5 linked regions of the Oryctolagus cuniculus genome follow. The protein of the gene in region 3 interacts with the protein of the main gene of each other region in a pairwise test. Links are inferred from orthologs where the notes say so. Each region holds a gene or a part of one and is shown on either strand. Other genes may lie near its edges. The genes, in order: CCDC33, TRAF3IP3, EMD, TRIM42 and ABT1.

The links.
Region 1: the proteins of EMD (region 3) and CCDC33 interact in binary tests that used the Homo sapiens proteins (3 or more experiments, as listed by UniProt). The two-hybrid records come from large-scale screens. The link is inferred for Oryctolagus cuniculus from reciprocal best matches to the Homo sapiens genes EMD and CCDC33.
Region 2: the proteins of EMD (region 3) and TRAF3IP3 interact in binary tests that used the Homo sapiens proteins (3 or more experiments, as listed by UniProt). The two-hybrid records come from large-scale screens. The link is inferred for Oryctolagus cuniculus from reciprocal best matches to the Homo sapiens genes EMD and TRAF3IP3.
Region 4: the proteins of EMD (region 3) and TRIM42 interact in binary tests that used the Homo sapiens proteins (3 or more experiments, as listed by UniProt). The two-hybrid records come from large-scale screens. The link is inferred for Oryctolagus cuniculus from reciprocal best matches to the Homo sapiens genes EMD and TRIM42.
Region 5: the proteins of EMD (region 3) and ABT1 interact in binary tests that used the Homo sapiens proteins (3 or more experiments, as listed by UniProt). The two-hybrid records come from large-scale screens. The link is inferred for Oryctolagus cuniculus from reciprocal best matches to the Homo sapiens genes EMD and ABT1.

The regions. Positions count from the first base shown.
Region 1 is NC_091443.1:109,318,630-109,322,505, forward strand, and holds part of CCDC33 (coiled-coil domain-containing protein 33), read right to left. Parts: intron 1,299-3,876; coding exon 1,133-1,298; intron 924-1,132; coding exon 835-923; intron 741-834; coding exon 609-740; intron 523-608; coding exon 441-522; intron 1-440.
Region 2 is NC_091444.1:24,609,042-24,612,917, reverse strand, and holds part of TRAF3IP3 (TRAF3-interacting JNK-activating modulator), read right to left. Parts: intron 2,778-3,876; 5' UTR 2,718-2,777; coding exon 2,373-2,717; intron 463-2,372; coding exon 315-462; intron 173-314; coding exon 109-172; intron 1-108. UniProt on the Homo sapiens protein: Adapter protein that plays essential roles in both innate and adaptive immunity. Plays a crucial role in the regulation of thymocyte development.
Region 3 is NC_091453.1:132,604,214-132,608,565, reverse strand, and holds EMD (emerin), read right to left. Parts: upstream 3,063-4,352; coding exon 2,981-3,062; intron 2,827-2,980; coding exon 2,719-2,826; intron 2,576-2,718; coding exon 2,498-2,575; intron 2,286-2,497; coding exon 2,152-2,285; intron 1,237-2,151; coding exon 1,190-1,236; intron 1,111-1,189; coding exon 789-1,110; downstream 1-788. UniProt on the Homo sapiens protein: Stabilizes and promotes the formation of a nuclear actin cortical network. Stimulates actin polymerization in vitro by binding and stabilizing the pointed end of growing filaments. Inhibits beta-catenin activity by preventing its accumulation in the nucleus.
Region 4 is NC_091435.1:141,105,144-141,109,600, reverse strand, and holds the start of TRIM42 (tripartite motif-containing protein 42), read left to right. Parts: upstream 1-1,541; 5' UTR 1,542-1,730; coding exon 1,731-2,071; intron 2,072-4,457.
Region 5 is NC_091436.1:153,680,265-153,684,785, reverse strand, and holds ABT1 (activator of basal transcription 1), read right to left. Parts: upstream 2,960-4,521; 5' UTR 2,686-2,959; coding exon 2,445-2,685; intron 1,687-2,444; coding exon 1,484-1,686; intron 1,399-1,483; coding exon 1,018-1,398; 3' UTR 586-1,017; downstream 1-585.

The sequences.
Region 1 (3,876 bases), on a different chromosome or scaffold from region 3:
GGAAGCGGTCAGAACCCCCGCCCCTCCCTCAGAGCCCAGCCCTGGGCCCTGGGGGGGGGGGGGGCGGCACAGGTGGCCTTTGCTTCCGCCTGCCCTGGTGCAGCGCCACCTGCTCCGAGTGCGGCTTGGCTGACACCCACGGAGAACAGGAGCCACCGATTTCATCAGGTGTTTGCTCTGTAGCGCAGAATCCTTAAAGGCACAGGGAGCTGGCGGCCGGGTTCCGGGGGTCCTGCTGGGGAAACTCCTGACCCCTGCCCTGCCTGTGTCCTAGGGTGCGGAGGAGCCGCAGGACGCCAGGGGCCCCGGACGCGTCCAGGGCCTTACTGGGCAGGGGAGCAGGCCACGCTGGGTCCCGCAGGTGCAACTCAGCCACGGTCCTGCGGTTGGAAGGCAAGGACCGGGGCGGGGGGTGAGTGCCAGGGACCCCCACCACTCACTCGCGCTGGGCTTCTCCTGCAGCCTGCTCGGCGCGGGGGCCTCGCTCCAGTCCCGCAGCATCCGCTCCATCTTCTGGATCACCTGCGGGCAGAGCACCGAGGCCGCGTTGGCCAGGGCTGTCCCCGGGCCGGCGCGGGGCGGGCCCCCGGCGGGCAGCCGGCACCTGCCTTCTCCTGGTGCCGCACGGTGTCTTCCAGCGCGCGCATCTGCTGCAGCTTGTCCTGGTAGCGCTTCAGCAGCGCGGCCTGCGGCGGCTGCGCCTGGTGCGAGAGCAGTAGCTCCTTCTCCCGGTCGTTCTTCTGCGGGTGCAGAAGAGAGACGCGTGGGTGCCCGGGAGCCAGCCTTGGCCCCGGGGTCCTCCCTGGCGGGGCCCCCGTCTCCGTCCCCGCTCACTCGAATCAGCTCGTTCTGCAGGTGCTGCACCTTGTCCCGCAGCTGGTTCACGTCCAGCTCTGCCAGCAGCAGCCTCTCCTTCATGGAGCCTGTTGGGGGCACAGGGGGTGGCTCAGGGAGGTGGGGGGGGGGTCTCTCCCTGCTGAGTCAGCAAAGTCAGGGCCAGGAGGGCAGCGTGGACTCTGTCTTTCCCAGCAGCAGGGGCCGTGGGAGCGTCTGCGGGTGTGGGCGGAGCTCCTGCCCTCCCCTCCCACGTCTCCGTGCCTCAGCCCCCCCCCCCCCCACCGGGTGAGCTCACCCAGGTTCTGCAACTCCTGGGCCTCGGCCTGCGCCTCCTCGGCCTCCCGCCGGGCCAGCCGGCTCCGCAGCCTGCGGTTCTCGCCGTCCAGGACGCTGGCCTGCTTCCGCAGCGACAGGATGTCCTCTGCCATCTTCTGCATGGCTCGCCTGTAGTTGTTCATCTCCTGGGAACCCCGGAGCCCAGGGCTGAGCCCCTGCACCACGGCTGCCCCCCGCCCGCATCGCCACCTCCACCTGGAAGTCCCGCGGGTCACCCCAAGCCCTAGGCTGTGCCTCCCAGGCTCAGTCCTCACCCCTGCTGGCCACCATGAGGCCGGCTGCTCTGATACGCTCTCACGCCCCCGACACCAGTTCTGGGCAGCAGGCCTCAGCATGGGCTACAGAGCCTGGGGAGATGCTGGACTGGCCGAATCACCACCATGTCCTGTCCTCGTCCCTCGTCCCTGACCCCTGGAGCCCAGGGGAGCCCCTGGCTGAAGCTGTTCAGCTGGCCCAGAGTGCAGAGGGGACACGGAGTATGCCTGGGGGAGACCCCGAGAAGGGCGCGGTGTTGAGGTCGGGACCCAGTGGTGAGGGGAGCGTGCCAGGGCAGGGAGCCAGACCCGGTCGCCAGGTTAGAGACGGCCCTCGTCCACCCTCCTGGTGGAGGACACCCCCTGAGAGTTTACCCCCTCTAAGTGGTATTTTTCGGTTTTATTTATTAGAGAGAGAGGAGAATTCCCACCCACTGGCTCACTCCCCCAAGGTCCAGAACAAGCAGGGCCAGGCCAGGCTGAAGCCAGGAGCCGGGAGCTCCATCCGGGTCTCCCAGGTGGGCAGCACTGGAGCTGTCACCTGCAACCTTCCAGGGTGCCCGTCAGCAGGAATGGGGGCAGGGCTGGGACTTGAACCCAGGCCCTGTGATACAGGGCATGGGCGTCCCGGGCAGGGTCTGAACCGCCACACCACACGTCCACTCCTCTCCGTGCTCAGGACAAGCCTGGGAGGGCAGATCTTGTCACCCCCCATTTTTCTGACGAGGGAAGCAGGGGCCGGAGAGGTGAGCGGTCTGCTCGGTGCCAGCACCAAGGCCTGGGGCAGCGGGGCCGGCGGGCGCCGTCTGGGCTCTGGTGCTCCGGGGGACCTCCACGGCGCAAACGCCAGCCTGGCTGCCCCCGGAGAGCCACGCCTCCCCAGGGGCTGGGAGGGAGGGACCTTGGCCAGGCGCCCCCTCCCCCCCACCGTGGGCCCCCAGCAGGACCTTGGGCCGAGCAGCTGGGCCGGGAGGCCGTAGCCTGCGGGCAGCAGCCCTGACCTCTCCCCACAGGGCCACGCTGTGCGTCACGGCCCAGTCTTGGACACCATGGCCCCAGATTCCTCCGCGCTCCTGGGCCCTCGGCCGCTGCTCCTGTTGGGGCGGGGCCAGGTTTCACTTGGGGGATCGGCGGGGACCCCTCACAGCCCGGGTGAGTCTCGCCCCAGCCACGCTGAGAGCCTGGGGCACCCTGCAGACGACAAAGACGCAACTGTGGCTGGGGAGGCAGGCAGGGGGCGACTGTGGGACGCGGCGAGGAGGCTCACGTCTGCGGCGAGGTGGGGGTGTGTGGCTGGGGAGGGTCCACCCCCTGGCCCCCAGCGATGGATTCATGGGAGTTTGCTTTTCCCACAGTCGGTTCCCGTTCCTGTCGGTGGGTCGCCTTTTGCAGTTTATATGGTAAAAGGACTGAGCGCAATAGTTTCCAGTCTATAGAGACAGCCTCCAGGCCAGGGTGGAGAAGGGATGTGTGGGGGCTGGGGACGGAGGGGTATGTAGGGGAGGCGTGGGCATGAGCAGGGGCAGGGGTGGGGAGGGTTCTCCCAGGGGAGGGAAGGGGGCTAGGGGCAGGTGCAGACAAGGTGCCCACCTGAGGCAGGTGGGAGGCCCTGCAGGGGCTGCAGTAGGAGCATAGGGAGGGGCGGGGCCGGGCCGGGCACACCCTTCTCTCCTCCTTGGCCCTTCCCTGGGTGGCCACTCAACCTCAGAGTCCCCCCGGGGGTCCCCAGGGTCTGGCCCTGGCAGGCCAGGCCATCTGAATGTAGTTTGCCTTTTCCACCAGCAGGGGGCAGCAGTGTTGCGCAGACGCTCAGGCCACCCCCCACACCATGAAGCAGGAGCTAGGAAGGGTGTGTGCAGGGAGTCTTAGACTCATCCCCGAGCCCGGCACACATGGCCCTGCTCCAAGTGGTCCAGCTGCCTGCCCAGACCTGCTGTGCCCAGCTCTTCCCGTCTCAGAGACTCCGGTGGGCTGGCCACCTGTTCAGGGTCGCACAGAGAATCCGGATCTCAGCTGGGTCCTGTCCTGGGCAGGCGATGGGACTGAGTGGGGACAAGACCCAGCCTGAAGCTGCCCCAGCTCTTCCCACCGGCACAGCAGCGGCACCTGAGGCTCACCCACGTGCAGGGCAGTTGAGAGGGGCTTAGGAGCAGCTTGGGACGCATTTGATCACGCATGTGCACATGCACGCACACGCATGTACACGCCAGCCTAAACCACGCAGCATCCCCCTCTCACCCAGGACAGACCACGGGTGCTCAGCCCGGGGGGGGTCCTCACAAGGCCCTGTCTGCACCTCTCTGTCTAGTTGGAACTTGGGGTTTGAGGGGGAAGAGTCCAGCCCCGGTTTTCTGAGGGCGAGGTGGGGCCAGGTGCAGCGAGGGCTGCGTGATTTGGCCAAGGTCTCGTCCTCATACGGGGCAGAGCTGCCCTGGGATTTGGTTCTCTG
Region 2 (3,876 bases), on a different chromosome or scaffold from region 3:
CACTGTGCTCCCTCTACATGCTGGGTAGAGGTGTTCAAGTGGGAGCCTAGGAGACAGGGATGGATGGGCTGTGTAGGTGTTAGGGGCAGGACTGTGAAAGGAACTCACTTGGTTTGCTGACTGGCATCGTTTTTCAGTGTCGGCTGTGGTTCTTCTGCCTTGGTCTGAGTGCCTGGGAGAAGGAGGATAAGGTGACTCAGATGCCATGGAGAGGGTATGAGGGAGAGGAGGAGGGACAGGGACTCTCCACAGCCAGTGAGCTGGAACTGTGGATTCCCTGTAGATCCAGTCATGCCAAGGAGCACTGCCCTTACCACGGTGATGTTTGGGCAGCTTCCTGATGGAAGGGTCCTGTGGTGGGAGGCCCCCTGCCAGGGGGGAGGGCTGGTCAGCTAGACCCCTCTGGACGTCTGCGGGAGGGTGCTGCTGGCCTGGAAGGCTCTTAGAGCTGGTCTCTGCCACCTGGAAAGCAAGTAGGGGATGCTGAGAACCACTCCCCAGAGCCTCAAGGAAGCAGATTCTCCAGATGATTGGAGAGATCACATCTGCTGTGGCCCGAGTGCTTGTGTGGAGCCCTGGGGAATGGTCAGGTCAAAGTGGAGCCCTCATGATGGTTCCAGCACCCTTTCATGAGCAGAGACACGAGACGGTGTGCCTCCCTGTCTGCTCTCTGCCCTGTGAGGATGCGATGAGAAGGCCATCACTAGCCCAGGAAGAATGTCCTCACACACTGACTGCCAGAGCCGCTAGCCTGGACTTCCAGCCTCTCAGACTTGTGAGAAATAAGTTTCTCTTGTTAAGGCCTCCCAGTCCCTGCTGACTGGGGACAGCAGTGCAAGTGCCCAGGACAGCAGTTCAGCTCCAGGAGCCCACTCGAGCCTTCCAGGCCACAAGGTTTCCGCTGCGTCTGCTTGCCAGGTCCTGCCTGGCAGCTGGATTTGCCTCTAACAATTCACTCCAGAATCCTTGCCTATACTGTTTGGTCCCAGCCAATTACTCACCCAGGGTGGCAAGGTGGAAAAAGAATTGAGTGGCAGTGGGTAAGGGGCTCTGGGTTTTAGATCCTGCTTTTGTGGTGTCAGTCTCCTGCCTGTGCAGTGGGGAGTTTGGGACAGATGACTCGCAGGGTGCTTGCTTTATTCTAGAGCTAGCTTCCTTCCTCTCTGCTGGAGAATCTCTGAGATTTTGTGCGAAGAGAAGGTAAAGTAGGAAGCTGAGGAGAGGGGGTGGTGGTCGTGGCCACAGCTTGGTTTGCTCTTTCTATCTTGTGTTCTTGCTAACACAGGAAGTCTGTGCTGGTGACATCCCCGTAGTACCTAATCCCGCGGACAGAGATTCAGTCTCAGTAAAACCTCACATGACTGATAGGTGGACGTGGAACTCTGGAGTTCTTAATGAGTTGTAGTTGCTCTACTTTTCTTTCTGGATTTCTTTTCTTCCAACAAAACGCATGCAGAAGTCGTTCTGCCTTAGGAAGCATAGAGTTGGTTTCCTTTTGCTGTTGAGCCGCAGGATCTTTTCTTTGAACAGCCCTCCCGTTACGCAGAGCAGAGCCCCAGGAAAGAAGCCCCGATGGAGCTGCTACTCAGAGTACGGCACAGGGCCAGGTGTTTCCAGGGAATACAGCAGACCCATCCGTACTGTCAGTGTGCTCACAGCATTGGTGGGCAGACACAGATGGCTTGCTGGCTGAGGTCGGATCATCTCCACATACCCTGGCGTTTGCCAACACTGCTGCTTCCCAGGCCAGACCAACGAGCTCTCTAAGCGTTACACAATCTTAGAAGATTTATAACCCCACAACCCACAGAGAGCAAGAGTGGCCTGGAGAGGCCAGGGAAGGCTTCTTGGACCAGATTGAGGCCTTAACTAAGTGAATTTGGTAGAACTGGAATGGCCAAGGGAAAGCGAGAGGGTGAGCAGATGCAACAGACTTGCAGAAGAATAGAGGACCAGGTGTGTGTGTCTGTGTCCGCATGTGTGTTGGGAGAGGGGACATAAAGAGGGTTGGCCTGTCCTTGGCATATAAGGATTCAGTAAATATTGCATGAATGATGGGTGGGTGAATGCTGTAAAATAGCTTAGCAGATACTATAGATTGCCTAAATTTGAACTGACACTAGGTATTGCAATGGGATTGTTCATAATTTTTTTTCTCCCAGAAGGTAAGTGCAAAAAAAAAAAAAAAAAAAAAAGAGCTAAACAAATAAAGGAAAACACTAGAACAAAAATCCCTGTGTGACTAAATAGCTGGCAAGTGGAGACTTTCGTATTTGACCAAAGAATAAGAGATTTAGTAGAACCATTTTTTCGTGACCTTGAGCCCACCCTCCCTCCACCTTGGGAGCAGTGCGTCCCTGGACATGGCCCACCTGCTGTCCAGGGGAGGAGATCCTGTTGGCACAAGACAAGGACCCATTGAGGGTAGCGGCCTGGCGTGTCCTCCTGGAAGGGCCTTGCTCCTTGGCCCCGGGAGGCCGTGCCTGGCCTCGCTCCTCCACCTCCAGCTTCCTCCTCTGGAAGAACTGCCGTTGTCGAGCTCGCTGGAGCTGCTCTCTCTGCTGGGTCCTCATTGCCTTTCCCACCTGGCGGCAAGTGGTCATGTTGGGGCGACAGCGGCGGCTCTCACGGGTCTCCTGCCGGCGCTCATACTTGGCCTCGTAGCTCTCAGCCCACCGGGCCAAGCCGGGGGAGGGCCTGGGGTCTGGCCTGATCATGATGACCTCCCGAGCACCTGTTGCACTTGGCTTCCACTTCCTTGCATAACCGCCTGGACCCTGCCAAATGCCAAGAGGGAGGTGTCAAAAGACAGGAAGAAAGATGACCATCTCCCTGGTCTAGTGGGCAGAAATAGCACAGCGTTCCATCCACATGTGTCGAGCACTGAGGACGTGAGAGTATCCAGCTTGGAGCCTGCACTCCTGGGCTTAGTCTCTGGCAAACTAATAAAATCTAAGAAAAGCGAATTCCTGATTTTCTCTAACCTGCGTCAACCCTCTGTGAAGTGCTCGGGTCTCTCTGGATACCACTGCTTCTTCTAAGGCATGAGAAATAATTGACAAAATTAGAATGATCTCATTCTGCAGCACGTGTGTTCATTTTGAAGCCTGCCAAGGATACAGCTAAGTTGACCCTGTTCCCCTTAATCTCCCAAACCTAGAAGGGGAGTCAGCATTTTTACTGCTCTCTTGGCCTACTTTGTTACTAAAATAGTCAAGTGACACTTGAGACCCGGAGGGAAAACCGATCCTCCTCAGGAAGTGACGAGGCCTGGGACCAGCAACCACTGCTGTCTTCCCGGCCCTTAGCAACCAGCTTGTGCTCCTAGTCTGCTGGGTCCTCTGTCGTCCCGGCATGGGTCCATTGGCACCCATTTCACTCTCAGGGCTGGGTTCTGGTTCGCATGTGCAAATCAGATCAAATCAGCATTGGTCAAGCCCCTGCCACACGTCCAGTCCAGGATGAAACCCACTTCCGTGCATCTGGCTCTCTCGCTTGGGAAGCTGAGGGTTGCATATTTCTAGAATCACCTCCCGGTGAGGGTTAACTCTGCTTCCAAGTCTGCTTTCCTTAGTCCAGACATGGACTGTGCCATCCAAACCAGCACACACATGAATCACACCTCAAAGAGTCTGTCCTGTAAACAAACAGAATCAGGAACCCAAAGTCCCCAGGGAACCAGGTTTATGGTGTAGAGGCTGTACTTGACACCTTGCATGTTGTCTTCCCTGCCATTTCCAATGCACCTGAACCCAATCCCTTCTTCTTTCCTGGCCTCTTTTGTTCTTTCCTGCTCTCCGCACCTACCTGCTGTGAATTCGCTTATTCTCCTAGGATGCTCTGGGAGCTTTGCTGAGTGGGGTTGCACTTGAGCTG
Region 3 (4,352 bases):
GCTGAGGAACGACCTTCCAGACCCACCACCAAGATGGCTTGTTTACGTTCTATCCTAATGCCCTTGGAAGCTGAAGTTCGTTTCAACCTTTCCTGATGGGAGCGCTTGCAAACCACACTGTGCCTGCAGCCTCACCTGCATTTCCAGGTGGGTTCTCCAGACCCCTTGCTGTTATCACAGTTCTTTTCTTAAGTAGTTACCAGTGCTTTGGGGAGTCAGGGAATAAACCCCCAAACAACACATGAACCTAGTCAGCGGTAGCATTTGATTCCTATGCCAAGACCAAAGCAAAACCACAGAATCAATAAAGCCAGGTGACAATCCTTAAAAAACCTTAAGACCCAGAGACCCCAAAGCATGGCAGCCAGCCTCTCCCCCAGCAGGAAGAGCCAACACATTAAAAATAAACGGTCTTTATTGCGTCCACGAAAACAAAGTCGAGGTGGCCCTTGGTTAACCTCAAAAAGGTGACAACGAACAGGAGGCATGCATGAGCACATGACAACATCTCTGAAGGAGTGAAGTCTTGCCCTCCCAGGCCCTAAGGGTCAGAGGCAAGCAGGGCCAGGAGGCTCCAGAGGAAGGCACGCCCAGGCCTACCAGAACGTGAAGGGCCCGAGTCTGCTGCCTCCCTGGTGGGAGCAGGCAGGGGGAGCAAGCACTGCTCAGGGCTAGGCCCAGCCCCCAAAGCTAGAACACACAGAAAAGCCCCCACCCCCACCCCCAGCACACACTGCACTAAGGCAGACAGCCAGGACTTCAAAGAGCTGGCTCTGAAATCAAGACCCTCAGGGATCCATCCAGAAGGGGTTGCCTTCCTCTGCCTGCAAGGAATAGTAAACAAAGAGCAGGAAGGCAGCAAAGACCAGGAAAAGCAGCAGCTGGCCCCAGAGTGGGACCTGGCGGTCCTGACCCAGACCAGCTGCAGGGGCCTGCTTTTCTGGTCGGATGGCACGGCGGGCGAGCCATGATGGAGAAGGCGAAGAGGCCACAGAAGAGGAGGATGCAGGGTAATAGGACAGGCCCAAGGAACTCCTGGAGACGTTGGAAACAGGGCGGTAGTGTGCGATGCTCTGGTAGGCACTGTCACGGCCATATGTGGAGCGTTCCCTAATGCAAAAGAGGGGAGCAGGTGAGCCAGGAGAGCTAGGCCCAGAATCACTGCTCCCAGGGCCTTCCCACTACTCACCTGTCCTTGTCCTCCTCTTCAGAAGAGAAAAGATGGTCACTGCGCACCTGCAGACCAGAATCGAGGTGACGGGACTGGCCAGCAGGGTCAGCACAGCCTGTCGTATTACTCAGCCCACTCTAACCATTGCTTAAAGGCCAGACAGGGCAGGCATTGTGGCGTGGCAGGTTTGGTTGCCAGTTAGGGTGCCCATATCCCATACGGAGTGCCAGTTCAAGTTTTGGCTGGTTTGCTTCTGGTCCCCTGCTACCCCTGTGGAAAACCTAGATGGAGTTCTGGGCTCCTGGCTTTGCCATGGCCCCCATCCTGGGCATTTAGGACATTAACCAGGGGATGGAAGACCTCACTTTCTCTTTTTGTCTTCCTGTTGCTCTGGTTTCAAGCAGATGAAAATAAACATTTTTTTTTTTAAGATTCTACTTATTTATTTGAAAGGCAGAGTTAGAGAGGGAGAGATCTTCCACCTGTTGGTTAACTCCCCAAATGGCCACAATGGCCAGGGCTGAGCCAGGCTGAAGCCAGGAGCCTGGAATTCCATCCAGGTCTCCCATGGGAGTGGCAGGAGCCCAAGTACTCACACCATCCCCCACTGCTTTCCCAGGCACAGTAGCAGGGAGCTGGATCAGAAGTGGAGCAGCCAGGACTCCAACCTGGATGCACATGGGATGCTGGCACTGCAGGCGGTAGCTTAACCTGCTGTGCCACAGCACTGACCCCAGAACCCTCTTTTCTCCCCCTGGATTCTGAGTTGGAACTTCAGATCCTGACCAGGGTGCAGGCCACATCCTGTGTGCTCTAGTCAAATACTCTTGACACGCCCCGTAGCAAAGTCCTAACTCATCCTAACTCTCTCTGGAAACCTAGGAGCTAGCATTTGTACCCAGTGATGCTGGGATTTACCCAAACCCAGCTGTCATCCCTTCAAGCTGCCCCCGGATATGAGGTGCCCGACGGCAGCTCACCTGGTGGTGGGAGGTGTCAGCATCAGAAAGCGAAGTCCCGGGTTGCCGGAAGCCTTTGGATGTGCCCACAGACTCGGGCTCCCCGTAAGTCCTGGTGCTCAAGTAACTCTCCTCGTAGTAGTCATCATTATAGCCTTGAAAAAGGGAGCACTGGTAGCAGAGGGCAGACCCGTGTTCCCCAGCTGCTCCAGGGACCCTTATTTAAACAGCGTTTTTGGGGCCCCTCTCAGGTCGCTGAGGCTGGTGGGGAGTCGAGGCCTCAGGTTTTCCCTACGCCCACGGTCCGGGACAGGGTGGGTGAAGGTGTTGGGGTGATGGTGTTAAGGGTGTCAATTCCTTGCCTTACCCTTGCTCTGGTAAAGTAAGGCGTCCTCTTTCTTGGGCAGGTCGTACTTATCCGAGTCCACAGATGCCGAATCCAAGTCTGAATTGAGGGGGGGGACGAGACCATTTTCCCCCAGGCTTCCCTCCCTTCTTCGCAGTGCCTCTCTCGGCTAGCAACCCACCCCCCACGCCACACCCTCGAAATCCCACCCTCCCTGTCACCACCGGCAGCCAGCTGCTCACCCGAGAACCGATAGGAGAACGAGGAAGCAGACGAGTTGGGTGGGGAGAGCCTCCGCCTCTGGGTCTCGTACTCGAAGATTTTCTTTTCGTAGAGCTTGCGAGTGGAGCCTGACCAGACAGCGGGCGCGGGGCGGTCAGGGTCGTGGGCTGCGAGCCCAGGGAGGGAATCTGGGTAGGGGACGCAGGCGGGGGGTACCGGGGGGCTGCGAGACGGCGCGCGGGAGAGCGAGTCCCGGGAGGCGTCCCGCCCGCTCCCGCGTACCCACGACTGGCCCGTGCGGAATGTTGTACTGGCGCAGCACGGCGGCCAGCTCGGTGTCCGACAGGACCGCGTAGTCGTCCATCGCGGGCGCGGCCGGCAGGTGGCGAAGGGCTGGGGGCAGCCCGGGCCTGGCGACACAGGCCAAGCAACACCACTGCCTCGCAGGGCTCGGGAGCGGCCGCGCTTGCGTCACGTCTGCGTCACGCTCCCGTCATGGCCGCGGGCTCCGCAGGCTGCGCGCGCTGCGCGGGGCGGAGCCAAACCACAAGGAGGAGCCGGCACGGACCGGTCTAGCTGTGGGAGCGGGCGGGGCGGGCCTGGCGAGCTCGTATTTCAAAAACGTGCGAGATTGGTTTGTGGCGGAAGAGGGGCGGGGCCTGTGTGGGAGCCAAAGTGGCTCAGACTACTCAGGCCGTGGGAGTGGGCGGGGCTGCACGCTCGAGAAAAGGGGCTGGACGGGCACGCCAAGACGTCACACGCAGGCGCTTCTGAGCTAGACTCGCGGGAGGGGCGGAGCCTATGCGACCCGAACCGGTAGAAACCGGCCAGAACGTGGGAGCTAGGGAGCCGGCGGCGTGGGTGTCTTTGCGGTGGTTCGGGCCGGTTGACTCTTGCCACATCCCTGCGCCTGCACTCGTCGTCCCCCTTTTCCCGGGATCCCAGGCCGAGGGTTCTCCCGCAGCAGCGGGAAGGAGCCACCCTTTGCACAGCGCCGCTCTCGGGCCAGCCACTGCTGTCTACGCTTTGGGTGCGCTACGCGGACCCCCTGGCCCAGGCCGGCCTCGCTGACCTGCACCGGCCCTCGCCTGCGCACCTGCGCCCATCGGTTCCCATCGCCTCCCTCCCTCCTTCCCTTGCTCCTCCCGCCCTCCACCCGGGAGGAAATGGGGCACTGGGCCAGGAGGACGCGGGCACTCCTGGAGCAAACAGCCTTCGAAGGGGCCCGGCGGGCCGTTCCAGCGGGCACGGGCAGAGCGCGCTTCGGAGAGGGAGTGTGCCCTCCCAGCCCACCCTACTGTCAACCCGGGGTACTGGGTGGAAGGGAAGGGGGCTCCAGTCGGAATGGCCCTGAGCCCAGTGACCAGGAGGGGGCCGGGCAGGGGCAGAGGAGCCTGGTGAGCCGTGAGAGACTGCCAAGGCTTGCTCAGGTTCCTGTACTGTGGCTGGGTTGGCAAGGGTCTTAATCAGAAGAGGGCTGTCCCCTTGGGGAGTCGAAAGGAAGTGACAGAAGTGGGTGCATGAAGAGATGAGGTGCCGTCCTGGCCTCACAGATGTTAGCTGGTGACAAGAAAGTGCGAGGGCTCTGATCAGCTCCAGGCTGAAGGGCCCAAACTGGTGATGGTCACAGGCCAGTTCTCTGAGGAAGATTGCT
Region 4 (4,457 bases), on a different chromosome or scaffold from region 3:
TCATTAAAAAATGAAATACTGATACATGCTACACATGGATGAACCCAAAAACACTGTGCTAAGCTAAAGAGTCCAGACACAAAAGCCATATATGATACGATTCCATTTATAGGGAATGTCCAAAGCAGGCAAATCCTTAGAACTTAGGGTACTTCTCAAGGATAGACAGGAGCCGCTAGGGAATGAGGAGTGGCTGACTGCCCTTGAGTGTCTTTTGGGGTGATGAAAATGTTTTGGAATTAGGTCTTGGTGACAGCTGCACAGTTTTATGATTATACTGAAAACTATTCAATTGTTCATGGTAAATTTAATGGTAAGTGAATTGTAATGTCAATAACAATTTCTAAAAAGAGGGGACTTCACAGAGACCAGTAATGAAAATATACCATGAACCCAAGAATGGCATTTGGACCTCTGGGCCTGGAGCCTAGGGAGAAAGGCAGATAAAATTGAGTTTGAGCAAATGTGTGGGAAAGATGTCTCTCATCCATTACTGGTGTCAGTATGAACTGGCACATTTATTTGAGTAGGCAATTTAGTGGCATCTATCAAAAAAGATAAAGCACATACCCTATGATCCAGCCCTCTCATTTCTAGAAACTTAAAATCGGTGTGTGGCTGGCACCATTAGCACTCAGTAAACGTTCTTTCCTATTATGAAGACGATCATCATGGGGAGAGATCATGGATTATGCAATCGGCTCGAGCAGCCAAACTCAGCCTTCAGTTCTTTTTGGAAAAGTAATACTGCAGCCTTCATACCGTCATGCGGCGTGGTCATGAACACTTTGCTCTTTTAACCTTTGCAAGCTGCATCAAGTGGAAACGAAATTCACCCCATTAGGGTCTTGTTTCCAGGTATCTGGAGCACACTGCTAGCACAAAAGTATAAAGCTCATGTAGCATTATAACTTCTTGATTAACAGGACCTAGAGGACTGATAGTAGGGTGGGGGAAAGGAAGTAAAGCCTAAGACTTGGTCAAACCCCTTGAAGCTGCAGAATTGGCAAAAAACATTCGGAGGTTTCTGCGAAGCCTCATGAAACAGACCAGTCATTATGCAGTGATGGGCAAGAGCAATGACTTTCAAAAGAAGCTCCTGAAGGAAGCGGTGTCTTCTGCTCCTTTAGTTCTTTCCACAAATGGTGACACCTCCTTCCGTGCTGTCCTCCTTGTTGCTATTTGTAAACACTGTAAGGAGTTCTATCATGCAGGAAAAACCCAGGAGAGGAAAATTATGTCCATCTACTTTTCCAATTAGTCATGCCAGGCTTCTCAGTCTGGGAAGACATTCCCTGAAATCAGCTTGCCCAAACTACGGGCAAACACCAAGCAAGAAGAAATAGCTTCTGAAATCTACCCCACAACCAGGAAGGGGACCAAGGACAGCTCCCCTGGAGCTGGTCCGACGGAGGCATGAGGGGAGTATCCATCAACTCACCTGCTAACCACTCCAGGCTTCACCTGCCAGCTCCACAGCGTGGTGAGACACTGCAAGGACCCAGTGATTGTGACATCAGCAAATGGCCTCATGCACGTGCTAACCCATGAGCTTCCTGGCAGGGACACCACTGGTGAGAGCCTCCTAACAGCCAACTTCTTGCAACTCTCAGGCTGACGGCCTCACTGGGTTGGGGGAGGAGGGACACCTCCACTGAGAACTGGCAGCAGGATTCTGGTAGAGGAGACACCAAGAGCCACGGTGGGGACGTGGTAATCATGTAGGGGCCATGGAGACTGCTATGTGCGTTTGCTCGCCATGTTGTACATGGCAAAGATGTTGTCCTCAGCTATGCTCCTGTCTGTGCTGCAAGTTCATCTTCACCTCGGAGAGGAACTGCACCTGCTTCCCCTGCCCATACAAGGATGAGCGGAACTGCCAGTTCTGCCACTGCACCTGCTCCGATAACCCCAACTGCCACTGGTGCTGCTGCTCCTGGGCCAATGATCCCAACTGCAAATGCTGCTGCACGACCAGCAGCAATCTCAAGTGCTACTACTATGAGAGCCGCTGCTGTCGCAATGCCACCATCACCTTCCGCAAGGGCCGTCTCAAGAGCATCCGCACCTCGTAAGTGAAAACTGGGAACTCAGTGCCAGCTGGGGGCCCACAGGGTGGGCTGGTAACCCCTGGGTTCATTTCTCTCTGTGGGAAAAGGAAGCCAGGAATTTTGTAGCAATTGAGTATATCCTCATATACTAACCATGTAGCAATTAAGTATATCCTAGTATACTAACCAGTATAGACTCTAACTTCCAAATTGAAAATCCATAAGGTGTGAATGCTTACAGCACTCTTCTGAACCACAACTCTCTCATGGGTGCAAAGTACTCAGAGCCAATACTCAGTGCTTAAGCAACTTGCCAGGCACTGCATGGGAGACCCTGGGGAACCCTCCTCTCCCTGAGCCCACTGGACCCAGCAACAGAGCCTTTGAGAGGTGAAGCCACCTGGGTTGACACAGCTAGCATGATGCAGAGTCAGGATTTGAACCCAGAAGCCATTATTTTAAATTTCAAGTGTTGTGTTGCAAAATGGAGAGGCCCTGTGAGGACTGATGTGAAATTCATGGACAGTAGAGTTCAGACATAAGTTGATTTGGGTGCAAAGTTGTTCATGATCCGCATTTTCCATGAATTTGTTGAGGGCTCTTTGCATGTGCTTTGTAACCTGATAGGTGACATAAAAATATAAATCGCTCTTCCCCCTGCTACTGTGAACTCTTGATATATGCAATGTTTCTTGGAAAAGTAAGAATTTCCAAGGACCAGTTTTGAGCCTGATGACCTGTATTCACCTGAGTGCCCCAGACACATCTGAACTCCCGTTGGCCTCCTCGACTTTCCCATGGAGAAGTCATGGTGCTTTGGGCCTCCAGGTGCTCACTGGGGGCATTAGTCATCCCCACTAAGCACTGTATAACCTCTTCCTACTCTACCGAGTCAGTCTTCTTCTGTCCCTGTGAGAGGAGCCTGGTAAGGACAGACTTACTCAGCACTGTGAGATGAGTGGACTAGGAGAGGCTGAACAATAGGAAGCAAGTCTGAAGGCCTTCAAGGCTGCATCAGCAATTCTACCAACAAAGGTTTGGTGGACTCAGGGCAAGAATGTAAGATCCATCTTGAGATTAGGTGCTTGGTAGGGGCGTAGGAAACATGAGTTTCCGTGCACGGCCCTCTCTGGTGCTTGCGGGAATCCAGGGACTCTAGTGGCAAGTCCAGAGGTTCCAAGGTGTGGAAAGCAGTGGCCACACCCCTCTCTCTGGACACGCCCGTTCTCCAAGCACCAGCCACGGAGAGCCACAGAGCCCATTCCAGGAGGGATGAAACTGCTGCTTTGGGAAAGTGGCTTTGGCATCAGTGGTTCCCAAATTTCTATGCATTTGCAATCATGCAGGGATCTTTAAAAATACCTAAGCCTGGTCCACTGCCTCCCCAAAACTCTGAATGTTATTGGCCTGGGGTACCACCTGGGCATCAGAATTGTATAAGGCCCATCCTGTTCAGGTGATTCCAATGTGCAGAATGGCCTGCGGGAGCAGGAAGGGAAGCTAGGAGACTTGCCAGGAGAGACAGTGAGAATCCAGGGGCAAGGGGACCAGGCCTGAACTGGGGAGAGTGAGGAGAAAGGACCAGAGGCAGATAGTTTAGCAGGAAGACCAGGCTGCTGGGCCTGGCAGCTGGGCATGGATCCCTGGCTACTGAACACCTTGTCCACACCTGAGGCTTCTGCAGGCTGGGCAGGGATGCACTTGACAGCTTCAGGAGGCATTGTGCCTGTCTTCTCCCTGGCCCCTCCCCTGGGTCCTGAAGCCCTGCCTCCCTGCTGCTCATCACCGCCTCCTGCTGAGCAGTTACAGCCACTCACCTCTCTCTGCTCTCGCCTGTCCCGCTCAGCCATACTCATTTCCTCACCTCCATTCCTACCGCTGCCACAGCTCCCTAGGCCATTGACACCTGTCTCTGAACCCTGTGCTCATTCTCTCTCCCTTCCCCCCCACCTCCCTCCATCTCCCTGATTTCTTTGGCTGACACCTGTCATAGTACGCCCTGGTTCTCAGAGTCCCATTTTTTTTAAATCAAACTCAAGAAGTCCATCCAGCCTCCATGTGTTATCCTTTACCACTCTTGATGACTCCAGGCAGGAGGCTAGGATGGCACAGTGGAACCAGCTGAGAACATCAAGGCTGGTGGGCTACAGCCCAGCATCCAAACCCTGAGAGGTGGGCCTTCCAGGCACCCGAGGGTGACTCCATCCCTGTGTGCCCAGGAGGCCCCTCTGAGAGCCTGGACTCTGAGGCCCAGGACCCCACCCAAGGGAGTGGGGATGGAGACAGGGCCATGCTCCTACAGGGAAAGCAGAAAGTCAAAAGCAGATGGAAACAGCCTCGAGGTCAGGACCAACATCCGAACATTCCTAATGCGAGCAGAGGAGAACAGACAGGAAAGAGCCACAG
Region 5 (4,521 bases), on a different chromosome or scaffold from region 3:
CTATCCTACTCTCGTACGTGGAGAGTAAGAACCCAAGCATGTGGGCCACCTGCTGCTGTTGCTTTCTCAGGCACATTAACAGGGAGATGGATCAGAAGCAGCTGGGACTCAAACTGACACTCTGATGTAGGATGCTGGTGTTGCAAAAGGCAGCTTAACCTGCTATGTCACAACTCCAGCCCCTAGGCTTGCCTTGAAGGGTTGTGTGTGGAATAAACCTTGCTACAGCTCTGCCCAGACCACCTGCCATCCTGGTCTGGAATGCAGTGTGTAAGTTCCCTTAATAAACTCTTGTATTCCTATATGGCGCTTCCCAATTCAATTTTTCAGTCTCAGGATTCCTGCTCAGTTTGGGAGACATGACATACTCTGCCATGACAAATTCTGCCTACCAGACACTCAGAGAAAGGCGGGGAGGAGGTGGGGTTCAGGTAGAATGGAGGCTGAGAACAGGAGATGAAGCAAAATGAACAGATGGAATACAAGAAAAACTTCTAACTTGTTCAATGGGCTCCATCCCCCGAATCTAAAAGTATGTAGAAACAGTCATATTCTTCCTTTTCTGTAAAAAAATTTCAAAGATGGTTTCCATCCCAGTCCCACTTTATTAGCTGCTCTACTTGCTTTCAATTAAGAAACAAAGATGCTGCTGCCCCCTCACCTATGGATGGTAAACACAACCTGACTCCCTAACAAGCCGTTCCTCTGATTAGCAATAAAGGGCCTTTCTGGGACCGGCAAGTGGGAGTTTTAGGGAAACCCAGCGAGACAGCCAGCCAAAAGTCAAGCAGAGGAAAACCAACTCCTACAGTAGTCATATCCACACCACAGGAATTAGGCATTTCAGCCAAACACGTACAGGAGTCGGGAGGAAGGAGAAAGGAAGCCTGAAACACTTGCGTTTCTGGGTCCTCACCAGGGAAACACAATAAAATGTTTGCCTGTGTGGTCAGTCTCCCTAGTGTGAGGTAGAACGAGAAAGGCAGAGCCGGGGGCCGGAAGGGGTCTCCCATTCCCTCAGGAGTCCCTGACCCGAGAAGGTCCCTCTGTGTTCTCCGAGGGGGGCGCAGCTCCGAAGATCTTGGCAAGGAGCCCTCGGTTGGAGCGCGCCTGGTCCTGGACTGCAGCCAAGCGAGCCCGCTCACGCCCTCCTGGCCGCGCTGCCTTCCGGGCCCTCAGCTCCTGCTCAGTGGGCCGCTGGGCAAATGCCCAGGAGCCATCTGGTCGGGTAGGGTCCCCATCAGCAGCAAGGAAGCGCTGTCCTCGCTCCACACTTCGAAGATAGAAGTCAGTCTCCCGCTTGGCTTGGGCAACCTCTGCTCTCAGGCGCTGCCTCCGTACTTGGCGCTCAAAGGCAAGGTGTTCACTGAGGTGGGACCAGGTGAACCGGTGCAGGTACTGTGGGCAGGAAGAAAAGGAGAGATCAAGGAGAAGAACTGGGAGACAGACAGGCGGACAGCTTGGCACGTGGGCCAATCCTCACCTTGAGATTCCACAGGTCATAACGGAACGGGCTGCGCTTGCGGGCACCCATGGGCGTGTTGTGCAGACTGGCCGCCACGCGCTTGGCTATGCGCTTGTCCCGAAACTCTACCCAGCCTTCGGTGTAGTCTTTGCTGTACTTCGACCGCTTTTTTCCTCCTGTGGCCGCTGCTGCTGCTTTTTTCTTGCGTCTCACGAACCGATCTGCGTACCAAAGACAGAGCTGAGCTCGGGACTCGGCACCCCAGACGCGCCTCCCACTGGCCGCGCCATTCTCTTAGCTCGCCTACGGGGTACCCCCTCACAGTCTCTGGAAAGAATGAACTGTGAGATACACTCTGCCTCACACACCCTTTCCTTTATCTAGATCAACACTTCCTCAAATGTCACTCCTTAGGTCTGCCCTGCACGCTACCAAAAACTTGTACAGGGGCCGGCACTGTGGCGCAGTGGATTGAACCCCTGGCCTGCAGTGCAGACATCCCATATGGGTGCAGGTTCGAGTCCCGGCTGCTCCACTTCCGATCCAGCTCCCTGGATTCAGGGAACCAGCTCCCTGGATCGTGTGCCTCGGAGGGCAGTGGAGGATGGCCCAAGTCCTTGGGCCCCTACACCCATGTGGGAGACCCGGAGGAAGCGCCTGGCTTCAGATCAGCTCAGCTCCGGCCACTGCAGCCATTTGGGGAGTGAACCAGTAGATGGAAGGCCTCTCTCTGTCTCTCTTTAACTCTTTCAAGTGGCTAAAATAGGAAAGTTCCTGATGTTTTTATTCCAACTGCACTATCGCTCAGCGCATCAGTAGGCACAGAAGTAGGCGCACACGAGATCGGAACCCAAAGGCCGCAAGCCCAGAACTAAGGGGCCAGTAGGCCCGCCCCCCGCCCCGCCCGCTCAGAGATCCCATTCCTACGATGCACCAGGCCAGCGCCTCGAGAGTTCACAGAGCGCGCCCGCGCTCCTACCTTCCGCCTGAAAGAACACGCGTCCGACCTCTCCGTAGGCGCTCAAGAGGTTGCGCACGTGCAAGGGACGGAAGCGCGGCGGGACGTGGCCCAAGTATACAATTCCCGGCACCACCCGCTTCTTCTTGCTGCGGCCCGTTTCTGTGGATTCCTCCTGGTCCTCTTCCTCCTCTAGTTCCTGCTCCGTCCCTTCTGGCGGATCTGGTTCCGTGGCTGCCTTCTCCGACTCCTCCACCTCCATGCTGACAGAGACAGGGAGCACGACAGCCGTAAAGCGCCGTGGCGATTACGCACTCGTCGTGCGACGACGTGCTACGAGGGGCGGGACTGGGGCGGTGACTACGCAATGAGCGACAGCTTGCCGCGAAGGGCAGGGCGAGGAGATGACAACAATGAAAAGACTGAGGGACGGAAGCTGGCCCAAGAGGGCGGATTTGAGGGTGTCAGGTCAGAAGTGAGAGTTGAGCTGGGGGAAGGATGAAAAATCGGGAGAGCGGAAGTGACGCCTCTCCAGAGGTGGGGTGACGGAACCGGAACCGGAAATAACGTTACGAGAACGACGTAACACGCCCGGTTGAACGCCCTGAAGAGGCGCGGGCGAGTGAGGCAGGGCTCCGGGAAGTTCGCGGGGCAGTATTTGCCGAGTTTCTTTGTGCCCTAACGATCGAAATAACATTTTATACAAAGAACCCGGATATGGTGTCGGTGACGGATAACTCATCTTTGTAAACTTCGATTTTCAATGTAAAACTAAGAGTTTTGAAGTCTCACATGACAGTATTGAATGTTTTGAATGTTTGAAAATGTGGTTTAACGTTGCAGATGTTTAGATTTACTTTCGAAATTTTAGACAGTTTAACGACTTTAAATTTGATTTTGTGAATGTCTGAAGTAAGTGTGCGTGCGAATTATTTGAAGAACTTGGCTTGTTCCTTATGTGTGTGTGATAGTCCATGTGTGCGTTTCTGTCACACGTATTCGTCAGGTCACCCAGGCCAGCCCGGTGCGGTTCAGCCCTCCTGTCCCAGGTCCTACCCGGCGGCCCCGGCGCGACCGCGCTTCCCGACACCCAGACCCGGGCAGGGCCCCCGGGGCGCCCCCAGGACGCGCCCTGACGACGCGTGCTCGGTGGGAGCAGAGTGACGCCCAAAGGCGCCTTTCAGTTTTTCGTCAATGCGCGACGCCCTTGATGGGGGCCCCAACACTAGTTTTGCATCCCGACTTGAGCCCAGAGGGACAGAGCGGGGGCAAACACGTCCCCACTTAAAAGGCCCCAGCTCCCTTCCAGAGATCCTGTGCATTTCTCGCTTCGCCGCCTGCACGTGCGTTCATTTTAAGGGAGGCAGCTCTTCCCCCGTCCTGTGTGTGTGTGTGCGGGGGTGTTGGTGGCAGTGCGTGGATGCGGTTCCCTCCTCATCCTTTAACACTGCCCTGAGAACAGCGCTGGGCGCCAGATCGCTTCCTGGCTGTGCAGAAAGATCCCGGGCGGGGCGGGCGCGTGCCGGGAGCAGACGGTGCCTTTAAAAAAAAACTCCGAATGCACGCAGGCGCTAGGTGATGAGAGGCGCAGCGCTGCTTAAAGTCTCTTCAGTACTCACCAGGATAGCACAGAGCCCCAAAGGCCAGCCCTAAACCTCTGGTGAAAATTGGGAGCGAACTCCCTTTGCGCTTCGCGTAGCACACGCGTCTTCGCAGCTGAACCCGGTGGGCCGGGGGCTCCGGGTATACTCGGGGAGCGGGAGAGGCGTGCCGTGTTTCTGTGGGGCATATTTTATACACGTAAATAATAAAGGTCTGCGAGTTTGAGCGATAAGCATCCAAGCATCCTCGTTACTGCTGCTCTGTCTTTGTGGTTCAAAACTGTTGTCCTTCGAGCCGGATTCGAACCAGCGACCTAAGGATGGCTGATTTCACGCCACTACAGTCCTCCGCTCTACCAACTGAGCTATCGAAGGACACGTGAGGGTGGCGCTTACAACACCTGAGATAATGGATGGCCTGATGGTTTTTAGTTTTGTATTCACGCGCGCTTCGGAAAATAGGGCCAACTGTAAGGCAGTGTTCCCCCACACTGGAA